3 linked regions of the Struthio camelus genome follow. The protein of the gene in region 1 interacts with the protein of each later gene in a pairwise test. Links are inferred from orthologs where the notes say so. Each region holds a gene or a part of one and is shown in the gene's direction. Other genes may lie near its edges.

Region 1 (7,529 bases):
AATAATAGGTTTACACTGCAGCATGAAAGATTTGGTGTGAACATAAGAAAAAAAAAATCTGGATGCCTAAAGCCAGAGAGATTGAGCTCTTGAATCTGCGACCAACCCTAGGATACTTTCACCCACCCCAAGTATTTTTCTGTGTTTTTTTTTTTTTTTTTTTTGTAGAACTAGGTTCAGGAGACAGAAAGTATGCACATAATCATTTGAATGAGTTTTTTACTTTTTCACCACGCTATTTTCTTCAGTTCTTGTACTAGGCTAAGGATCCTGTTCACAGCTGTTGTCAACAAAACAATAGCACAGAATGTTAAAAGGGATCCCTATCAATAATAAATGTCTTATTCATGATACAGTTATGGTTCTGGCCTCTATTTACTACACGGAAAGGCAGACAGCTTTACATTTCACATATTACAGAATCATTTGTCATTTTGTACTGAGGTTCTAATCAGGGATGCGTTCCATATAAAATTGCCACGTGTGCTCTGTCTTTCAGAGAAATTAGCAAGTAACGTGGAATGATCTCTTGAGAGATGCAGATACTTTGCCTTTATCTTTCCGTTAATTTGCCCAATGGTTAGCAAAGGCAATGCAACCTTGCTATTATGTGTGTTATTATCTGTGAAAGTACAATTTACAACAAGAGGAGAACAAGTTCAAGTTTGCAGTGAAGACTCAATTCCACATCAACAAAGTAGGGAACCTGTCTTTATCACTTCCTTTGGACAGATATTAAGTGGATTGGTCCATGAGGCCCATGAAGGCTTTGGGAAAAGTGCACCTTACAGTATCAAAGCAGAACAGTTTTCCAGGACTAATTATTTACATCAAGAGATGAAAAATCTGAATAAAATTTGATATAGACATTACTGATTTTATAAAATAGGCAAAGTATCCCACACTATAACAGCATACTTTGAAGCATTTGTTATGGAACAAAGTGAGGGAACATGAATGTCACTGAAGGCGTACAGTAAAACATAAATTGTTACATTTATTTCACACAGAGAGACTGGTACCTTAATAAAAATTTAGAGATCTGGCTCAGTTCATGACAAATGATGTACTTTCTGTATATAAAAAAGCAACAGTGAGGGTCACATTGTCCAAAGGTATGTGGAGTTGTTCTGTCCTCTATCACATTAATTTTGCATAAATACATTTTTAAAATATTTTAAAAACCACCTCATATGTAGCCTGCCTTTATAGCAATCTCTGTACCTTACACACAAAACGCACACACAAGACTCACCTCAGAATTTCTTTCCTTGTAAAGAATGTGCAGTCCTGTGAAATAAGAGAAAAGATAATATGCAATGATAGTTTTAAATGCATTGGCCCAAACTTTTCCACTACAGTGACTTAAACACTCATATTGTAATGCAAGTGGCCAAGCATTAATGTTCTTTTCTTGGCATTATAATAATGATTATTTCATAACCCTTCTTCCTCTTGAGGCAAAATTAAACTATGTTACTTAAACCTTTGATGTAACAATACCCACACTTAACAATTTTTGAAAAGATTGTTTTAAAAACACATCCTTATTCAATGTGCTGTCTAAATAGCCATTTAGTTTGGCATTGTTTTATACCTGATATGCATCCAGTTGCTCTGGAGTGAAAATGGTTTGCTTGTTGCCCATTTCTGGCTCTGAAGGCTGGTTCTTGTCCCATCATTCTTTCCTCAAAGTTACCTTTATAGGAGGTCTGGATATTCAGACATTAAAAGCTGCAACAATGAGGTTCAGGTAGCAGAGGATCAAGTAACCAGCTTCCCTATTGCATGGGCTACAAAGAATCATAATAGGAGCATTTCATCTAATCTTTAGTTTGGCTACTTAAGGCTCTTACCCAGCATCACTCACCTGTCTCCTGTGTGCACAACAAAGACTCATATTACAGTATTTGGACAAACAACTAATAGCTTCTTGGTCGTGTCTTTGAAATGGTAAGTAGACCTTGTAGATTGCTTTTTTTTGTTTTTTTTTCATTCTTTCAAATATTTTAAAAGACCTAAAAACTGTTTGGAATGTCTGTCTTCTCTAAGAATTAGCATTAAATACTAGAAGTAAGTAATAATGAAAGTAACCCCCCCACCCCCGTCCTTTCTTTCTGAATTTTCTCTATAATATTTACTGTACACTGCCCACAGACAGCACATGGCAGTTTGTACTGGAGATAGTATCTATAAAGCCCAATCACTCTATTCTGCATTATCTAGTAATATACATTATCACTATTTAATGGTTATTAGTGTGGCATGCATACATATAGACATATGTGGTTTTTACACTAAAATACATGTCAATATATGATTTGTCTATAAAAACCGATATGTGATGTTAAAGGTTACATGAAATATGAAACTTAAGGGTCGAGGGAATAACTGACTGCATTTCTATGGCACGTAGCAGGCTGCATAATAATACATGTTCAGGGGGCAAGGCGTAAAACCTTCCTTCTCGGCCGTTCATCCAGTAAATTGGCAGCTTTAGCAGCAAACGAAGCCCTGACGCCTGGTTTGGAGGATGCATCTGTGAGGTGGAGACCCCGGAAAGGCAAAACTATCCTCCCGCCTCGGGGGAGGAGAAACGCCGGCCTCTCACTCACCGCCCCGCCTTGAAATCAGTAAAAATTATTCAGAATCGGTCCGTTGGGTGTGGAAAATAGGCGGCGGCGGGAGGAGGTTTCCTCAGCGGCGCTTCTGCGCGGCGCCCTCGGGGCGGCTCCTAACGGTTTTCTCCTCACAGAAAAAGGGGGAGTCGCTCCTGGCGCCCGGCCTCCCGCGCGGCCGTTGCCGGGGCAACGTTGCGGCGGCCGCCAGGGGGCGCCGCAGTGCGGGAGCGGCGGCGGCGGCGCTGCGCGGGCCATGGCGGACTACGAGGCGGTGCAGCGCGGGCCGCTGCGGCTGAAGGGCAGCGGCGGCGCCCTGGGCGCCGGCAAGCGGTGAGGGGCGGCGGAGGAGGAGGAGGGGGCCGGGGTTGGGGGGAGGCTCGGCGCTGACCGCCTTGTGCCCGCAGGAAGAAGAAGAAGGCGAAGGCGAAGGGCCAGATCCTGGAGCAGATCGTGAGCAGCAAGAAGCAGGAGGAGGAGAAGAAGCGCGGCCTGGACAAGCGGACGCCGGCGCAAGTGGCCTACGAGAAGATGCAGGAGAAGCGGGTAGGGCGACCCGGGCCGGGGTTAAATCCGGCCCGGCGGCTCGGGCTGGGGCTTGAAAGGCCCAAACGGGCCCCCCGAGGCAGCCCCTGAGGGGGCGACGAGCGCGGGGAAGTAACCGCCTCTCCTGTGTCCCCCCCCCCCCACAGCAAATGGAGAGGATCCTGAAGAAAGCGTCTAAAACCCATAAACAGCGAGTGGAGGTGAGAACTAAATTCACTCCTTACTGCGACCAGCGTGTGTTTGTCAGCACAGAGGATGGCGCGGGCCCGGAGGAGCCCTTTTGCCTCTGTGAAGCCCCCAAGGTGGGAGGCAGCGGGGCCCTGGCGCGCCTCGGCGTTAGCGAAATCATCAGACGTTTCATGTTTTCGCTCTCTTCCTCTCCCCTAGGACTTTAACAGGCACTTGGATACTCTGACGGAGCACTACGACATTCCTAAAGTCAGCTGGACGAAGTGAAGGGGCGGTTTTCTTACAAGGCTTTGGAGTTGTGTTTGTATCGAACAGGGGTCGCTATGTAAATCCGTGTATTCTCGGTATTGAATGTTTAATATATCTTCTGAACGTTTGTGACCTTGCGCTGTCTTATTTCACTGTTTTTGTCTTTTACACCAAGTAGTCAACTAAGCCTCCTCTTCGCTAGTGAAAGCTCTGGTTTATATAGGTGCAGTGGGCTGTTTTCTTAGAGCTCGAAGCATGGCTGAGTCCAAAAGCAATTGGTAGGAGCCAGCTGGAAAATGTTTCTATATTAGTTTGATACTAACTGTTCTCCTTCTTGGAACGGAAGAATCTCGGACAGTCTCTTCACTTAGCTTTGCTTGTAAATTATAGGAATGGTATCAGTTGTTTGCACCTAGAGTTCTTTCAGAGCTCAGGGTGGGTTCTGCTGTATTTTAAAATCCTCTTGTAACTCTGATGTAACTTCTCATTAAAATGCTTTTTTTTTTTTTTTTTTTGGTGTTTGGTGACCTGTACAAAGAGGTAAGGGCAGCACAGTGATAAAACAGGTGTTTGCATGGGGCCTTTTTCCTGCGATTTCTATCTTTTGTGCACAATTCCGACTCTCTTCCGAGGGATGATGTTCAAAACTCCAACCTGCCTCTTAAAAACGAGGTTGGCCTGCCACGGCTGGGTTGGCCACCAGCTTCCACCCCGTGGCCTGCAGCCCCTCACCTGGGTGTTACTCCTGCCCAACCCAACCCCCGGGGCCATCTACTGAGCGGCGGACCCATTTCCAGAGAGGTCTGAACCCAGCCACCCCCAGGGCCCTATTTAGGCGACGCGCGGGCAGCGCGGTGTCCTTCCGCCGCGGCGGCCGGGCGCTGCGCTCGTATCCCTCCTCGCGGCGGCCGGGCCTCGTTGCGCCGCTTCCTGCCGGAAGTGCCGGCGCGGGAGGCGGAAGTCGGTCGGTCGGTCCGGAGACGGGGCGGCCCGGGCGGCGGCGGCGCGATGTCGGCCAGCGCCGTCTACGTGCTGGACCTCAAGGGGAAGGTGAGGCCCGGGGCCAGCCGAGGGTTAGACGGGGTGGGAAGGCCTGCGGGGTCCTTCCCCGCGCCGCTGAGGGGGCCTGCGGGGCGCCGCCGGCCTCGGCCCGGCTGCTGCTGGGGCCTGTGGGGGCCGCGGGCCCCTCAGCGCCGGTTTCACTGCTGGGCTGCGAGGGGGGCAGTGGTGGCTTGGGTCTGTCCTGGGCCGTTAGAGACGCTGGGGGGGGGGAGGTTTGCGGCTGTCCCACCTGCCAGCTGGGCTCCTGGGCATCCCGTCTGGGGTAATCACGCTCTGCTGTAACTGGAGGTCGTTTATCTCCTCCGATTTAGGTGCTTTCCCCATCTTAAAAGCTGTTACCAGGGTGTGTGCTGCCATAGGGGGAGAGTGAGTCTAGAAAACATTAATGCATGACTTCTCAATGGAAAACTAGTGCTTGCACTGTAGTCCACAAAGTATTTTGGAGTTGTACCTTGCACGTATAGTCTGCAGAGTGGCTAGGGTGAAACCAACTGATGTCTCTCAAGTTACTTAAAGAGGCTTTCCGAGGATTCGTTTGTGTTGCTTCTGGATGGTAGCATCACCTGTAGAAAGAGAAAAAGATTAAAGGCTTTGTTGTTCTTTGTGTAGGTTCTCATCTGTCGAAATTACCGCGGCGATGTGGACATGTCAGAGGTGGAGCATTTTATGCCAATCCTTATGGAGAAGGAAGAAGAGGGGACGCTTTCTCCTATTCTAGCACACGGAGGAGTTCGTTTTATGTGGATTAAACATAACAACCTATATCGTATCCTTTATATTGCAAGTCATTTACATACGCTGATGTTAATTGCTGATATGTTATTTTCACAGTTTATATCTACATGCAAAGCTAGAGAATAGGTGAAGTTGTATAAGGAAGACTTTATTAAATAAAATGGCTTTATGGCTTAGATAGTGTAGTGTGCACTAGTAGCACAGTGCATAGGAAAGTATTTATATTAATTTTACTCTAATAAACTAAGTCTGAATCTTCTCATCTAACGTGACGAGAGATACTGTTAACTAAATCTTAATGTTTTGGCCAACTGTAATTGCCATACCATAACTTTGAAAATGCACTTGGTAAAAAAATCTTTCGAATGGTAATTTTGAATGCATATTCCTGAACATCCTTTATCAGTTGTTGCAACTTCTAAGAAAAATGCTTGTGTATCACTGGTGTTTTCATTTCTGTATAAAGTAGTTCAGGTGAGTATGAAATTTTAAAACTAACTTCTGCCTATTTTCAATTAAATCTAAATCTGATCTAAATAAAAGTGCGTAGAACTTTCACTCTTTTAAAAAGAGCACTGTGGTAATAGCACTTTTAATTTGTTTTTGGTTATATTATAGAAATGTCTTTCTAATGGCTAATAATAGAACGGGTAGCTGAGTAGGCAAAGGATGTGACACAATGTTGTGAGTAGTCGCGTAAGACCTGAGAACACAGAGGAGGATTAGGAATTTGGTGCGTGCATAGTGTCATAAAATGCAGGTTTTATGTTTGGTTTATCTGTACTTGGCGTGAAAAATACTTTCACTGGAATAAGTATTTTTCATAATAGTCAGAGGTATGCCTAAGATGCTGTAGCTCCCTTTTAAATGAGGTGTGTTTTAGCAAGTATGCATTGTGAATATGCTGTTGTTCCTCAATTAATACCCTCCTCCTTCACTTCCTTTCTCTGACTGTTGTTTCAGGTTTTTTCTGAATATTTTAAGGAGCTGGAAGAAGAGAGCATTCGGGATAATTTTGTTATTATTTATGAGTTATTAGATGAACTTATGGATTTTGGTTATCCACAAACCACTGATAGTAAAATTTTACAAGAGTAAGTAACAGTCTGCCTCACTTTCAGTGACAGATTTCTTAGGTAGCTTTGAGTATTCTGCAACATACAAACCAATGTTTTGGCTTGATCTATTCGCTAAAAAATCAAATACTTCCTAAGATTTAGGTTTGTAGCTTCAAACTTCTTTTATGTAAATCTGACGTTAAAGATGCTTCAAAAGCTGTAAAGTGTAATTTTCATGTTTTCTATCTCCATTATGTGTTTGTAAAGGTATATCACTCAGGAAGGTCACAAACTTGAAACTGGAGCTCCCCGTCCACCTGCCACTGTTACTAATGCTGTTTCATGGAGATCAGAAGGGATAAAATATAGGAAAAATGAGGTGTTCCTGGATGTTATAGAATCTGTTAACCTTCTGGTGGGTACCTTTTTCTTGAACTTTTACTGAGAGTTGTAGTAGTAAGTGTTATAAAGAGCTTACAAGGCCTGCAAGGGTACAATAGAGAGTCAAACTAACTGTGGCTGGGTGCACTGTGATGCTTAAAACAATCTGTGTGTCTTAAGACTGAGTATGCATAAAAGCACCCAGTAGATGAATAGTACTTTACTTGGATGTATCTTGTTTCTGACCAGTCTGAGGCTAGCCTCTGACATGTTCTTTGCTCCTTCTCCTTCCATCTGTCCTCATCACCTCCCTGATTCTACTCCATGACTTCTCAGGAGAAAGAAATCCAAGAAAATTGGGATGGCTGGCGGAGTGTTGTTTGATCTCGTGACATATGACATCAGGGCATTCTGACCTTTCTTTTCCTTGCTCCTCAGGTCAGTGCCAATGGAAATGTATTACGGAGTGAGATTGTTGGATCCATTAAAATGAGAGTCTTTCTCTCAGGAATGCCAGAGCTTCGCCTTGGTTTAAATGACAAAGTTCTCTTTGATAATACAGGCCGTGAGTATTTCAATGATACCTCTGTAATCATCGAGAATGTTGTCTGAATTCTTAGACTTTGAAATGCTTGAGGGTCAGGTGAAAGGATTTGTTCTTAGAAGATAAACTGCTCCCTTTGCCAGTGTA
Region 2 (7,231 bases), on another chromosome or scaffold:
TTAAAATTCGGGTATTGGAAAAAATGCAGTAATCAAGCACTCCCCAAAAGTCTTCACAGGAGAGGGTATTTATTACATGTTATGCACTGGGGTTTCCTGGGAGAAAGTTACTGGGAACACTTTCCCTTTATGCCCTAGGAGGACCAGGCTAGGCAGGAGTCACACAGAGCCCGATATGTGAGCTAGAGCCCAGCATGATTCACATCAGCTGTTTCACAATGATTTGTCTGTTGTATGCAAGGTGTTTTTTTCTTTAAGCTGTGTTATAGACTCAGATTTTTAGTTGTGCATGAGTAGTACAATATACAGCTATGTTTCCGTAACTTCTAAAATCTAAATGCTGTGAAACAAAATGGATTCTCTAGCTCTAGGAAGTGATTTGTATCTCGGAAAGCACAGGAACAATTTCACTAAAGAAAATTTGCAGATAGTATAATGAGTTAGGTTGAATTTTGATTCTTTTGCCTTGATGAACTCTCCAAATATCTTTAGTATTAGAGTCAGTGTTATGCTTTCAAATGGCTGCTTGTGATGGCATGTGACTCCCTAACCTGGAAAGGTATCTAGAAACAAAAGCACCCAGACTCTGTGGGCTGATGCAGAGGGCATTTTTAATTTTGGGGGTTTTGTTCTGGTTGTTTTTTCCAAAAGCCATCAGTATCACCTGGATGTTTGACTTTAGATAGTTTGCATTTAGTGAGGGGTGGGACTAATCGAAACACATGGAGTTGTGTGGGATAAGGTGCAGCCCTTTCACCAGCCACAAAGACTGGGCTAATAAGCAGGTGCAGAAGAAGATATGGAGGTATTCTCTAATCCTGTTCTCATTTTCTTCTAGGTCTCGATGACAGCTTTACATTCACCTCTCACTTGTGTGGAGAGGGAAGCTTCTATGGGGGAGGTGTATGTTTTATGTTGGGTTTTGTTCTTATCAAGCTAGGAGAATAGATATGGTGGTTATCTCTTAACAAGAGAGGCTATGCAGTTTCCGTTAAGGAAGTAGGGAAAGCAACTCAATTGTTAATGCACTCATGTTTTGAACAGTGACCGAGTTGTAATGAAGCTAAGCCGCATTCAAACATTTTTTAAAAAAAACACTGGAAAAATCAAGTTATGACAGTGAGGTATTAGGTAACTCCAGTGCCACTGTTAATGTTGAAGTAATTGTATTAAGCAACAGATCAAAGCTTCCTGAGCGTATATATGATACATGAGTGTATAGCGCTCCCAATTTGTATGTAAATGTGAAGGCTGGTGTAATAAAAGAGTATTTATTTCCTTAACAAGTCTTTCTTTGTATGTCTTGATACCATCACGGCTTTAACAGTACTATTGCAGTGTACAAAGTAGAAAAAGGGGATGTTTGAGTAATGTGCATTGGTTTTGTAGCTTTGTTTAGAGCAGCCAACTTAATGTAACAGGTATTTGGCTACTAAGCACAGGCCAGTTAGCAAAAGCAGTCAGATCCAAACTGGTATCCTGCAGCCACCTGCAGGAACACTAATAAAATCTGCCCGGTAACTGCCAAGTGTGTCACCATTATGGACTTAATGCCTATTAGTCAGATAGGCTTTAAAGAGCAATTTAACATTCAAAAGAATAATTACAGCTGTCCTAAACTGTGAAGCTTAGATGTGGGTGGTTCTGAGCAGGTCCCAGGTGGAGTCGGCCAAATCTGTTTGGCAGGAACTCAGCATTGTACAGCATGGGGGAGGAGAGAGATGGAGTGGAAGGCAGCCAGAGCCGGACAGGAGGCCATCCAGTGGCCACTCTGGAGAGGGAAATAGTTATTAACTCTGAGATCACTCGTTACCTGCTTGCCCAGTTTCTCACTGAGCAAGAGAGAGAGAATCTGGAAGGTATAGAAAGGACCGAAGGAAAACAAACCTATCTTAAAACTGAATAGTCAGTCAAATCCTGCAGCTCTTATTAAATGAGCGGTTGCTCTGGAGTCAATGGGACAGTCAGTGCCATGTCTGTATAATCAGACTGGTTATTTTAAGACCATGTAGCAACAGGGGAGCATCTTGGATAGTGGCTTTTCATTAGAGATGATAATCTCAGTGTATGAAGCAAAACTGATGTAGCAAGTGATGTGAGTTAATATGAAGCCCAAAGCCAGCTATATTAAAAGTGATTTAAAATCTCAGAAAATCTTGCATTCAATGTGATTTCTTTTCCAATAAGCTGTGTGTAAGTACTCTTAACAGCTTTCTAAAGGAAGAGAGGTATCTCTTTTCTATCAATCCCAGAACTACTGGAGGTAAGAAAAAACGTGACAGTTTTTGTTGTTATCCCATAGCGGCAGAGTTAGAAGGGGCTGGCAGTTGTATAGAAATAATAAGCATTGGGGACTTATCTCATTTGTTAGAAAAGTTGTGTGGTGTGTGTTTGTTTGTGTGTTTTTTCCCAGAGCACCTTTGGGAGAATGCAAATTACTGTATTTTTCCAGCCTATTCAATACACTCGTTATCTTGCTCACAGATGAGGGACAATTTTATTGATTTTTTTTTTTCTGAAGCAGGGCTAAAATGGGGGGGGGGAAATGAGATCATTGGTTTTATGGATTAAATGTTAGAGCATATCTCTTAATCTGGAAAGACAGTATACTCTGTGCAGCAAACTCTGCTTCATATTCTATAGGCAATGTCACCGTGATGTCTGGAGCAGATAACTGCTGCTCCCTCGAGATGAGTCAAGAAAATCAACCTTCTGTCAATAAAAATCATGTGTCTGATCAGTCAGTGGTCTGAAGCCAGGACCACCCATAACATCATGCACATTTCCTTCTATTCCCTGTTCAATGTGCTACATGATCAGTCTAGATTGGGACTGGAATAACAGCAATGTAATACTAAATTCAAACACAGATATTACAGCTTTCCAGCCTGCAAAATACTAATCTTTTATCTATGACCATCATCTGCAAAGATAAGAGCAGCTTTAGTCTAGTCTCCTTTGTGCAAATAAAGATCCTAGAGGAGCAAACTTTCTTTTTTCAAACATTAGAAAAGAAACAAATGCAGTTCATTTAGTTCAAATGGGTTCTAAATCAAGAAAGAATTTTGCTTTGTAAAAGCAGATAACAACAGATTTGAGGACACATCTAACAAAAAAAAAAAAACAGTTCACAATTGCTGCTTTAATCTAGTTTGTCTTCCTCCCTGGTAGTCTTGTATCTGTGTTTGTACACATTATACATATCATCTCTTGTTCCTTTAAAGAGTCAAAGCCTTAATTTAGAACTGTTGATGGGAATTAGAGGTGTAATGTTATCATTAATTCAGAGGCGAGTAGCCTGAAAATGCATGGAGGCACTTAAGAATACCATGGTCAGAAAAGAGGTCAAAGTCTGTCTCTACCTCTTTAAGAAGCGCTAGTGCCAGAACCTGCCCCAGGCAGTACTAGAGTCTGTGAAGCGGCTAAGGGTGGAATAGCTCGCCTGGACAATTTTTGTAGCTCTCCAATTTGCTGGCCATACCCTCGAGCAGGATTTTTGCCAGCAGTGCTCTTTGGTTCTCACATCTGCATTCTTATTATCCAAATCAATGTCTCCTCCCATTCAGTTTGCCTTTGAAGGTGTTTCTATGCTGACTGACAGATCGTGACTGTCCTACCCTTCTGGAGCTTTGTCATGGGATGTTTGAATGGCTAAAAAACAAGAGGGCGAGCCTTATCGAAGTTTACCAAGGCAGCAAAAGTCTAATCTGTAGGACTCAAAGGAGCTTTAGAGATCCACTTGCAAGTTGTATTGGTCGATGGTCTTCTCGGGGACATCAGAAAGGGCAAATTCAGGCTCGTTGCTACCCAGTGGCCCTGCCACTCAGTCTCAGATGCATCTCTGTGAAAGCACAGAGCCGGCCTTTCAGCTCTCAGGGGAATACAGTTTGACAAGGTGCTGTAGCTCTGTGGCATAGCCTGTGACTGGGCATCGTTGGTGAGTCTTCACGTAATTATACACGCAGCGGTAGCAAAATACATAGCCAGACGTGGACAGGACCGTGGCATTGGCTCGAATTTTGCGGCACAGCGGGCACATGGTCTTCAGTTTAGGTAAGAGAGCTGAGTCCGCCCCATGGTCAAGGTGTACTGGTGGTGGAGGAGTAGGGAGCGCTGTCAGAGATTTGATCGTCTCTTGGTTTTCCGAGGAGTACCACCACTCCAGGAACTGAAGGAAGAATACGCTGACAGACAGCCCAGTGGACAGGGAGAAGGCAATGCCACCCAAAGCTTTCTTCATTGCTGACTGCACTTGTGCCTTAATGCTGTGGCAGGGAGAGAAGGAAAGGAGAAATTAGCAGTACTGCACATTTGTCCCTCTGCAAACCAAGGCTAAAAAGGTTTGGGGTAAGTTACTGCTCTATACAGCTTCTTAATGCTAAATGATTTTGTTAACATGTTCCATGTTTGTAATGAGACATCTGCTAGGGTGTTGCTCTCAGATTCTTTGTGTTTTAAGAAGAGCATAGCATCTCTAGGAAAATGTCAAGTCCTGTTTTATTCAGAGGTCTAAATCAGAAGAGTTTGGGTTGAGGGGACCTGGATCACAGAACATTTCACTCATGGACCATCATTTTACAGGACATTAAATGTGACCATGACTAGTTGTGGCTAAGTTTCAGTCCTTTTAGCAAAATGGGTACAGTCTGCTTCCCTTAATAGAAAAGGGCAGCTAAAGATTGAATGGAACGGAGGCTGGAGTGCCAAAAAAGCATTCTGATTTTATTAGCACAAACTCCTGTGAAGCTAATGCCTCTTACTTTGTTCCTTATTTACACTTACTATCATGACATTCCCTTTTGGAGCAGGGTTTTGCCACATGTAAACTTCATCTTTCTGGAGAACAAGACAGCTTAACCTAGGGGCGTTGCCTCTACGTCAGCCCACCCACAGAACCTCCTAGCAAGTAGCTGCTAAGCAGAGTTCTAATGTACCTGTGTGTCCGACTCGAGGCGGCTACTGCAGATTTCTTCTCCAAGGCCTGGATATCATCTGCAGTCAGTCTCACCAGGCGAACGCCAGCCAGCTGCAGCATGGGTGAATGATGCTGAGCTTTCCCGAGGATATAGCACAGTTGCTGGATAAGAAACCAGCCCTCCCAGGCCATGTTTACAAATGGATAGGCAGCTAGAAAGGCTCTGTAAAAGCGCTTCCAGGACGATGAGGGAGGGTGGATGGAGTACTCATCCTCTTCCCTCAGACTGGACACCAGTTTCTCTAGCTTTCCTTTCAGGTAAGGAACAAGAACAAGCAAAAGGAGAGACTTCCAGTGCTGCTTCTTTGGCAGGCCAGCACTGGCCAGCGATTGTTTGCAGTCTCCTATTGCTATCCTCTTTAAGCCATAGAAGTTTTCAGAAAAAGAGGCACTGCACCTGGCCAGATACTGCTGCTGGAGCAGTAAATCCAGGAGGATGTAGATCTCATCAAACCAACGCCAGAGGGAGCCATATCGGCCAGGATTCGACTCAGCCAGCACCTATTGAAAGAAACACAAAATGGGGAAGGAGCTGATGGTGCAGACAGATGCTAAATTACAGTAACTGTAAACTATGCCTGCAGTTCATAAAGTGAGCTGAATGGGTCAAAACTGCTATGCTTGCTCACAGCTGTGGCCAAATGTGAATCCTGGTGATGAAAAGCTCAGCTGAGAGAGCGGTGTTCAAACTCTCGACGTTCTCTCTGTGCAGCAGTTTCCCCTCAAAGCATTCACTGTCAAGTATTCACTGTCTACATTACCTGTCCTCGCTAAAGGCATGCCTCCCTGCGTATGAATACAGTTGAGCTCTCTTGAGTCAACGGGACACAAGCCAACTCTGTTTTCCATCTTGATTCTGGCTTGCTTGAATCAAGGGCAGAGGGAGCTTGCATCAGTCTGCACCCTCTGTGCAGGCGCAGACTGCTTGTCCTGCACTTCAGCTACCGTCTTGGACAGGCCATGTAACCCTTCTGCTGAGTTTCCTCTAGGGACCTTCCCCACGACACAACACTGTTGAGAAAGGCGGTTAACGCTTGCCAGGCAGTCTGAAGACAGCTTCCAGTAAGCAGTTTCTGAAGAGCACAAGGGAAATGAGAAACATAATACCGAAGGGACTTGTTTTTTTGGAGAGAGGCTCCTGTAGACTCACAGGGAGGGCGCCCAGCAGCCCCTCACATCGCCTCCGACGCCAGGACCCATGCGCCGCAATAGGGCAACAGGTCTGCTTACGCGCGGGAGCAGCACGCTGCCCAGTAATGAACCCTTCCAGCCACGCACCAAACCCACCACCGCCAACATCTCCTGTCCTCTGGGTGAAGCGTGCGTCGCCCACCGTTTCATGGAGAACAGCCATTTCACAGAAAAGAGCCGTTTCATGGAAAGTGGGCCCAGGGAACGGGAGGCGCCGGGCCCTTACCTTGGCCAGGTGCTGCAGGGCCGGCTTCACGGCGGCCATCAGGCTGTCCTGGGCCACCGCCTCGAAGATGGAGGGCCGGTCGTCGCCGGCCGGGGTGGCCGTGAGGTGGGCCCCGAGCTCGGCCATGGCGCCGCCCCCGCCGGCAGGGGGAGCCGGCGGCCCCCACGCCCTCAACGCGGCGGCGGAGCGCGGCGGCCTCGGGGCTCTCCCCCGGAAGTGGGGCGCGGCGGCGCTCTGTCTCCGCCTCGCGCCCCTCTATGGTGGCAGGGGCGCGGCCGCTCTAGGCGGGGGGAGGGTTGATTCTCGCTCCTCGCGAGTCCTCCCGGCCGCTCCGCTCCGCTCCGCTTCCGCTTCCGCCGCGGCCGCCCCCACAGCCGGTGTGTCCGTCGCCGCCCGCCGCCGTGAGTGGGGCGGGGGCGCCGGGGCACTGGGAGGTGCTGGGGGCACTGGGAGGGGTCGGCAGTACTGGGAGGGGGAAGTGGGAGGTGGTAGGGGATCCTGGGAGGGGGCACTGGGATGGGATGGGGGGGGTACTGGGGTGGAGACTCTACTGGGCCGCTGGAGGGGAGCACTGGGAGGACTGGGAAGGGATAGGGGTGAGTACTGGGAGGGGACCCTGGGGGACTAGGATGAGGGGTGTGTGCTGGGGTGGGGACTGGGTGGGGGGGGTCAGTGCTGGGGGGGACTGGGCAGGGGTGGGGGCGAGATCTGGGGGCCTGGGAGGAGGCTGGGAAAGTGAGTGCTGGAACTGGGAGGACTGGGGGGAATGGGCAGGGGTTGGGGGGCAAATCCTGGAGAATTAGGCAAGGGAGAAGTGCAGGGAGTGATTGCTGAGGGTA
Region 3 (6,828 bases), on another chromosome or scaffold:
CCTTGACAAATGAACTGTACGAAAAATGCCATACCACCTAGCAAAAGCAGTAGCTATACTTGAACAACTTTTTTTCTTTTCTTAGAGCAAGAGCCACAGAGTTTCAGTAGTCTGTCTTCCCCAAAATGCCTAGAAATCAGTTGTCTCTTAGCTAAGATACTGTTAAAAACTGTATGAACTTGTTTGGAAGCTTGATTCCTTATAGAAATAAGTCAATTTTCTAAAGTTAAGATACAATCCTACTAGCTGTACAGTTACAACCTCCCTTAACGTGCTGGCACAAAAACACTATCCTGAATGCCACAGGCTTGTTTGGAGGCTTCAAAGGAAGTCTTTGATCTATTTTCAGCCTATAAATTGTTCTTGTGGAATCTCATCTTATTTTTGGAATGTTCATGTATGTGCTTGTTGCATGGCCAATTGAGCGGTCTGACTGTAGAGTATTTCTTGTCGTTTGGCTGATCCAGGTACCTGTCTTTAGCATGAGTACAACAGCAGGGCCCTGGCTGTTCCGTCCTAGGACAATAAAATCAGCTCCTTGGGGAAAACCAGCTACCACTCTCTGGTTATCCCCTCCTGATAGTGCCTACAGCAGCACTGATAAACTTTGGAATGGAGAACATCAGTGGAATAAATAAAGAAAAAGGAGAATCTTCAGGGAAATTTTGTGGTTATAAAGTTATTCTTACTGACTTTATATTGGAAAATACATCAACTCCCAAATCAAACTGTAAAAAGAAAATCAATGTTAAAGCAATTATGAGCACAACCCCTGAGTGGCAAATGCATCTCTTTAAGTATAGTACATGTGATGTTGGTGAGTTTCCAGCTATTTCTTTGTTTTCCTCTGTTCAGTTTTGCATTAAATTAAATTTCTGAATCACATACAGCTACCAATGAACTGCAGAAAGTAATCCGTCCGATTAGTTTCATTTAAAGCCTGTTTTCATCCAGGACTAAATTCAGTAGATATACTTTAGGTAATATGAGAAATTAAACACAGTACATTGTATGGGCATTCTTTAAAATCTAGTTTAAAACAGCTGGTAGGAATTAAATGCTGGCTTTCCATCACTAAACCCAGCTCTCAATTCTGACAGCATAGACTGAACAATTCTTATCTAGATTTATATAATAATACACCTTAATACCAAGACAAAATCAGCAGTATTATTGGAGGATGGGAGTTATTATGGCCCTTTATATTGCTTCCATCACTAAACACAAACTTTGTACAAAGATTCCAAAGAGAATGTATCCATTATTCACTACATGCTTAAGTTCGGAGAAGAATGATCTAGGACGGCACATTTGTGCTTAAACTTCAGTTAAAACAAAAAAATTGCCTGTCAACAATGAAATGGAATGTTTAATTCTCAGTATTAAACCATAGCTCCTTCCCATCCTGTATCAGAAAGTATTTTTTCCTCATCCTATTACTTAGGATAAAGCTCTGTGAATCCGCTTTCCCTTACTTATTAAAACTCTGAGATGAAGTCACTGAAACTGATGACAGAAGTTACCTCTTTGCCTGGTCTACCACTTTGACTTACTACTTCCTTCACTATACCACTTAATGACACACCCAATGTTGGATTAAACCCCAATTTTCCCAAGATGCAAAAGCAATTGCACCTTTAAACTAATGACACTGATAAGCGTGTTAACAGCCTGCTCAGAGAACCCAGGAGTGCCGTCACTGGGCAAACAATGCAACACGTGCTTCCCTTACACCTCTTACACACGTTTATGGTGCTGCTGACACAACACTCCCACAGACATCTGCAGAGCTAAATGCAAAACACGTCATTACTCTTATTTTGGCTTAACTCTTGCATGTTCTGCTATAGCATTTGCCTTCTAGCTCAGGTGCTTCCCCCCACCCCCTTCTCTTTATCTACCAGTTGGACAAAACTCAACCTTGGGAGATGGTATCAGGGATGTCTGCTGGTTTCATCCAAGGGATTCAGAACAAACAGAGCAGCTTCTGGCACAACTCTCTCAGACCATTTTTAAAGCTTTTACCTACCTTGTTAGAGGCTTGAAGCTTGATTCAGCTCTAAGACTTTGTTCTCATGGCCAGTATAGCAACATCGCTATGCTTTGGGAGCAACTCCTAAACCATCTGTTTCCTAATTCAGTTATTCTCAACATTAAAAGAATCCTAAACATAATCTTGCTCTAAATTTCATATCGAAAATCTAGACAGTTTATGAAAGTAAGGGAAAAACCTGAAAGTGGATACAAAGATTTATCCCATCTGTCCATTTTTATGTATTTCACACATATCAGTGGATGGAGGGCTATTCCAAAAAGTCATTTCCCCTCTGCCAACGCGTAAGTGGGATCCCATCTGGATATACAGAAACATCAATCTCTTTTTACACAAATAGAATAATTTATTAACATGTATTTCATTACAACAGTGCTTGTTGTATATTCATCTGGTGCTGCATTTCTACACGCGGAGTCCTCGCTGAATGATTCCTGGCTCTACACAATCAGGAAAACACAAAGGAGAGTGCCAAACTCATTCAGAGAAATTGATTGGAAGAACGTGTGTGTCAGGTATTTAGAACGCAGGGAAAGGACTTCACGGGATTCAGGCCTTCCTTACATATAGATGTAGCTCCCGCAGAAGAACATTACATAAAGTACTTTAAGCATTGCAGGAAGAAGCTGTAATAACTTAAAATAAAGGCATGATTTTTGGCCATAGATATAATGCCTCAGCACATGCTCAGACCACAAATACTGTGGCAAAAACAAACTTTTCTTGAGTACAAATTCTTACAAAATTTCCTACTAGAAATTTGTTACCCTTTCCCCTGAAACCCATTAACTTGCCAATATAAAGAAAAAGATGCTGGACTGGGGAACGTCACTGTGCTGCTCCAGTGCGATCGCCTCTCTGTGCGTTCTCAAGGCGTTAGACCGCACCTGCTCCGTGAAACGCCTTAGGCAGCGAACGACCGGCGCTGCGGGCCCTGCTGCTGCCGCGGGCCAGCGCTCCCGCCCCGCGCTCCCGCCCCGCGCTCCCGCCCCGCAGCCGCCCTTTCCAGCCGCTGACGAGGCTCCAGCGCTGCCCGCGGCCACTCGCTCCTCGGCGGCGCCCTCCCCGCGGCCTCCGAGGCACCGCCGCCGCCGCCGGGCTCCGCTGCCCCCCGAGCCCCCAGCCCCCAGCCCCCAGCCCCCCCGCCGCCGCCGGGCTCCGCCGCCCCCCGAGCCCCCAGCCCCCCGCCGCCGCCGCAACCGCCGCCGGGCTCCGCTGCCCCCCGAGCCCCTCCCGCCGCCGCCGCCGCCGCCGGGCTCCGCTGCCCCCCGAGCCCCCAGCCCCCCCGCCGCCGCCGGGCTCCGCCGCCCCCCGAGCCCCTCCCGCCGCCGGGCTCCGCTGCCCCCCGAGCCCCTCCCGCCGCCGCCGCCGCCGCCGGGCTCCGCTGCCCCCCGAGCCCCCAGCCCCCCGCCGCCGCCGCAACCGCCGCCGGGCTCCGCTGCCCCCCGAGCCCCCCCGCCGCCGCAACCGCCGCCGGGCTCCGCTGCCCCCTGAGCCCCGAGCCCCCAGCCCCCCGCCGCCGCCGCCGGGCTCCGCTGCCCCCCGCCGCCGCCGCCGCCGCCGCCGCCGGGCTCCGCTGCTCCCCGAGCCCCTCCCACCGCGGCCGCCGCCGCCGCCGGGCTCCGCTGCCCCCCGCCGCCTCTTCCCGGCTGCCCCTGGGCTCGGGCTCGGGCAGGAAGGGGCGGGGCCGCCCGCCGCGGGACCCGGATGCGGAAGCGCTGGCAGGGAGGCGGTTTCCGGTGTGGGCCGGGCAGCGGCGGCGGTGGTGGTGGCGGCGGCGGCGGCGGCGGGGAAGCTGCGGCGGTGGCGCCGCGCCTGGAGCCGGGCCGCACCCGCTATGCGAGGGACGCTGAGGCCCCCAGGTGAGAGGTCGCCGCCGGGGGCCGCGCTGCCGCCGCCCCGGCTCCGCGGGCCCGCTCTGGGGCGGCGCGCGAGGCCTGGCCGCCCCCGCCCCCCGGCGAGCCCCGAGCGCGGCCCCGGCGCGGCCCCGCCCCGCCGCCGTCGCCGGGCCCGGGAACCGCGCGGCGCGGGGACGGCGGCGGCGGCGGCGGCGGCGGCGGCGGGGGCCGGGCCGGGCGGGGCGGGGCCGTCGGCGGCCGCGGGGCCTGCGGAGCCGGCGGAGGCCGGTCCCGCCGCCGCTGGTGCGGATGAGCCGCGGGCGGCTGCCGCGGCTGGGGTAAAACAATCGCGTCTTTCAGGAGGCTTTATGTACGACGGCCTCGAGGAACCGCGTGCTGCGCTTTTGAAAGTGACTTTGTTTTTAAGCCAGTAACGTTTGCTTTGCGTGTTTCATCTGAGCGTTCCAGCCTGGAGACTAAAAACTTGTTGTGGGTTAAAATAGAAAAACTTTGCTCTCTATGACGTGGGTAGAGAAAAAGCAGAAACAGAACAGGTTGTAAAAGGAGGAAGTAAAACCTCTGCAGAAGGAAAAACCCAAATATTCTTGAAATGTATAGTTAAAAATATCTTATGTGTGTTTAGATGGCTTTGCTTTTCATGTTAGTTCGGTATATATAATATCAGCTCTGCTCCCTAATGGAATTGTTTCAATGGTGAATAAATATGTTTTCCAAGCTATATTTGCTTCTTGGACTAAGCTGTGTCCTTTTTGAAGGATGGCAGTTCAGGCTAGCAATTGTTAGGTGTGCAGGCATGCCTATTTAAATTTCAATTGAATGTATCATAAAAGGGTATCTTTGTTGTAGGCAAGCATTGTAGAATAGATGCTTATGTCTGGGAATATTCTGAAAGGAGATAAAGAATTTACACATCTGCATATAAATGCTGCTTTTAAAAAAATATTTTGTAATGATCATTGTATTAGATAACGATTTATTATGTTGAAGAAATGTACTTCAATAATTTTGTCCACTTGTTTTAAGCAAAGTGGAAAAAATATGTAACACTAGTGCTGACAGTATTCTGTTACTCAGTGATAAATATAAGCAGCTGATCTGGTTTCTTGAAGTGGGTTGGTATTACAGGTATATAGAAGGACTGATGCTTTGAGGAAAGACTGAGGAGTGTTGAAAATGAAAAATTAAACTAACTGGTAAAACAGTAAATTTCAAAGTGCAAATACTCTTTATTGCTATTACATAGGTCATGATTTTGAGAAGATCAGTTTAACTGCAAATGCTTCAGAGAGCTTCCTTTCCAAGAAAGTCATTTAAAAGCTGCTATTTCTAATATTCTGTTAGATTTACTAAATCAAGACTTATTCAGATTGCAGAACAGCTTATGTTCCCCATCAGACAAATTGTTCTCAGACTAGCTAAAAAATAGCGAAATTATAAGTATAGTAATATTCAGTACAAATTCCACATTTGCACCTGAGGTATGACAGTTTGTCATACTTTACTTCTGGTGAATTGCTTACTGTCCCTAGACTCTTTTCCCTTTTAATTTAAAAGGGGGAAAATATGCTGATTTCAATTTTGCACCTTCATGTTGAGATTTTTCAGATACTTTTGGGAATGCATCTCAAGCAGTTTGTTCAAGGATGTGCATAATCGTTTCTAGCTTGATGCTTTGAGGAAAGACTGAGGAGTGTTGAAAATGAAAAGTTAAACTAACTGGTAAAACAGTAAATTTCAAAGTGCATAATCGCTCCTGAGCCATCTATATTTTGTATGCAAACATTGCTGTCGTCTTCTTAGCAGCCATGCATTTGTGCCAAATTCTGGCATCTTAACACAGTGCACCAGTCAGCACATTTTTCTATTGACAGTTATGTAACTGTGTAGAAAGTACTGTGGTTATTTTGCACGTTATCTGTAGCGAGGATTCATAATCATGTTTTCTACATTTCATTTCTCCATAGAACTACTTCAGTTGGAGTCCTGCAACTGTTTGTAATTCAGTGTCTATTTTTGCACCATATTCAAAAAGTGCTTAAAATTCTGTGTGTGCTGTCTGCTAGCTTCCTAAATATTGTCTCTAAGGTGCACAGCCCTATCTATTAAAATTTTGACACTTCCCTACTGATGAGAAACAGAATTTGACAGGGGAAAGCTGCTTGTTATTTCATGGCTTTCAGAGTTCTATTGTATTCAATTTAAACATGATGTAGTTGAAAAATTGCACAAATTTAACTTATTCAGGGAGTTAATCTTGGTCTTTCATGACTGGTCATTATTTCTCATGTTTAAAAACATGTAAATTTATCTTAAACTTCAAATTTAAGGCAGAAATTTTGAACAGTTTTATTACTTAAGATGACATCAACTTTGTGGTAAGACATCTGGATCATGTGGGAATACAAACATTAAAATCTGAGCTATTAGCTGAGCTTCTAGCCTCTAATTTTGTTGCATTGTCACACATATACAAGGTACATATGCAAAAAATTCTGTACAGCTCAGGTATCGCTTTCCTGTTTACATAATTTAAAATGTTAAATTAAGGAATCTTGTAATAACATCTGAAAAAGCTCAGAAAGAAAGGATTGGATTGTAGTGTTGCAACTGCACAGGATGTTGCTCTTTCAACTTTCATCTAATAAAATGACAGGGAAATACCCCTGGAAGAGTCATAAGCCTCATTCTCACTAGGACTCTATGCCGCCTTTGTTGTTGAATGAATCAATATGATGACTTTTGAAAACTTTGTTTAAGGTGGAACATTTCATAAGAGTACAGTCAGTCTTTATTGGGGGATTAATGAGATTATTTGTTTGGCAGTTGAAATGCAGAATCTTTCATACACCTTTACAAACTCTAGGACATCCTGCAGTTAACTCTACTGCTAAAGTTTCATCAAATAATTGTTTTTGT

The links.
Region 2: the proteins of AP1M1 (region 1) and AP2B1 interact in binary tests that used the Homo sapiens proteins (3 or more experiments, as listed by UniProt). The link is inferred for Struthio camelus from reciprocal best matches to the Homo sapiens genes AP1M1 and AP2B1.
Region 3: the proteins of AP1M1 (region 1) and ZBTB43 interact in binary tests that used the Homo sapiens proteins (3 or more experiments, as listed by UniProt). The two-hybrid records come from large-scale screens. The link is inferred for Struthio camelus from reciprocal best matches to the Homo sapiens genes AP1M1 and ZBTB43.

What each region holds. Positions count from the first base shown.
Region 1 is NC_090967.1:5,185,862-5,193,390, forward strand, and holds the start of AP1M1 (AP-1 complex subunit mu-1), read left to right. Parts: upstream 1-4,507; 5' UTR 4,508-4,610; coding exon 4,611-4,652; intron 4,653-5,273; coding exon 5,274-5,430; intron 5,431-5,805; coding exon 5,806-5,873; intron 5,874-6,362; coding exon 6,363-6,493; intron 6,494-6,724; coding exon 6,725-6,872; intron 6,873-7,276; coding exon 7,277-7,403; intron 7,404-7,529. Other genes in the region: CIB3 (calcium and integrin-binding family member 3), read right to left, coding at 1,256-1,290, 1,598-1,648; protein FAM32A, read left to right, coding at 2,875-2,951, 3,026-3,164, 3,311-3,364, 3,552-3,620. UniProt on the Homo sapiens protein: Subunit of clathrin-associated adaptor protein complex 1 that plays a role in protein sorting in the trans-Golgi network (TGN) and endosomes.
Region 2 is NC_090957.1:14,847,896-14,855,126, reverse strand, and holds the start of AP2B1 (AP-2 complex subunit beta), read left to right. Parts: upstream 1-4,265; 5' UTR 4,266-4,347; intron 4,348-4,934; coding exon of another isoform or gene 4,935-5,476; intron 5,477-6,392; coding exon of another isoform or gene 6,393-6,518; exon of another isoform or gene 6,519-6,826; intron 6,827-6,853; exon of another isoform or gene 6,854-6,988; intron 6,989-7,231. Other genes in the region: PEX12 (peroxisome assembly protein 12), read right to left, coding at 3,866-4,265, 4,935-5,476, 6,393-6,518. UniProt on the Homo sapiens protein: Component of the adaptor protein complex 2 (AP-2). Adaptor protein complexes function in protein transport via transport vesicles in different membrane traffic pathways.
Region 3 is NC_090961.1:395,228-402,055, reverse strand, and holds the start of ZBTB43 (zinc finger and BTB domain-containing protein 43), read left to right. Parts: upstream 1-3,806; 5' UTR 3,807-3,915; intron 3,916-6,828. UniProt on the Homo sapiens protein: May be involved in transcriptional regulation.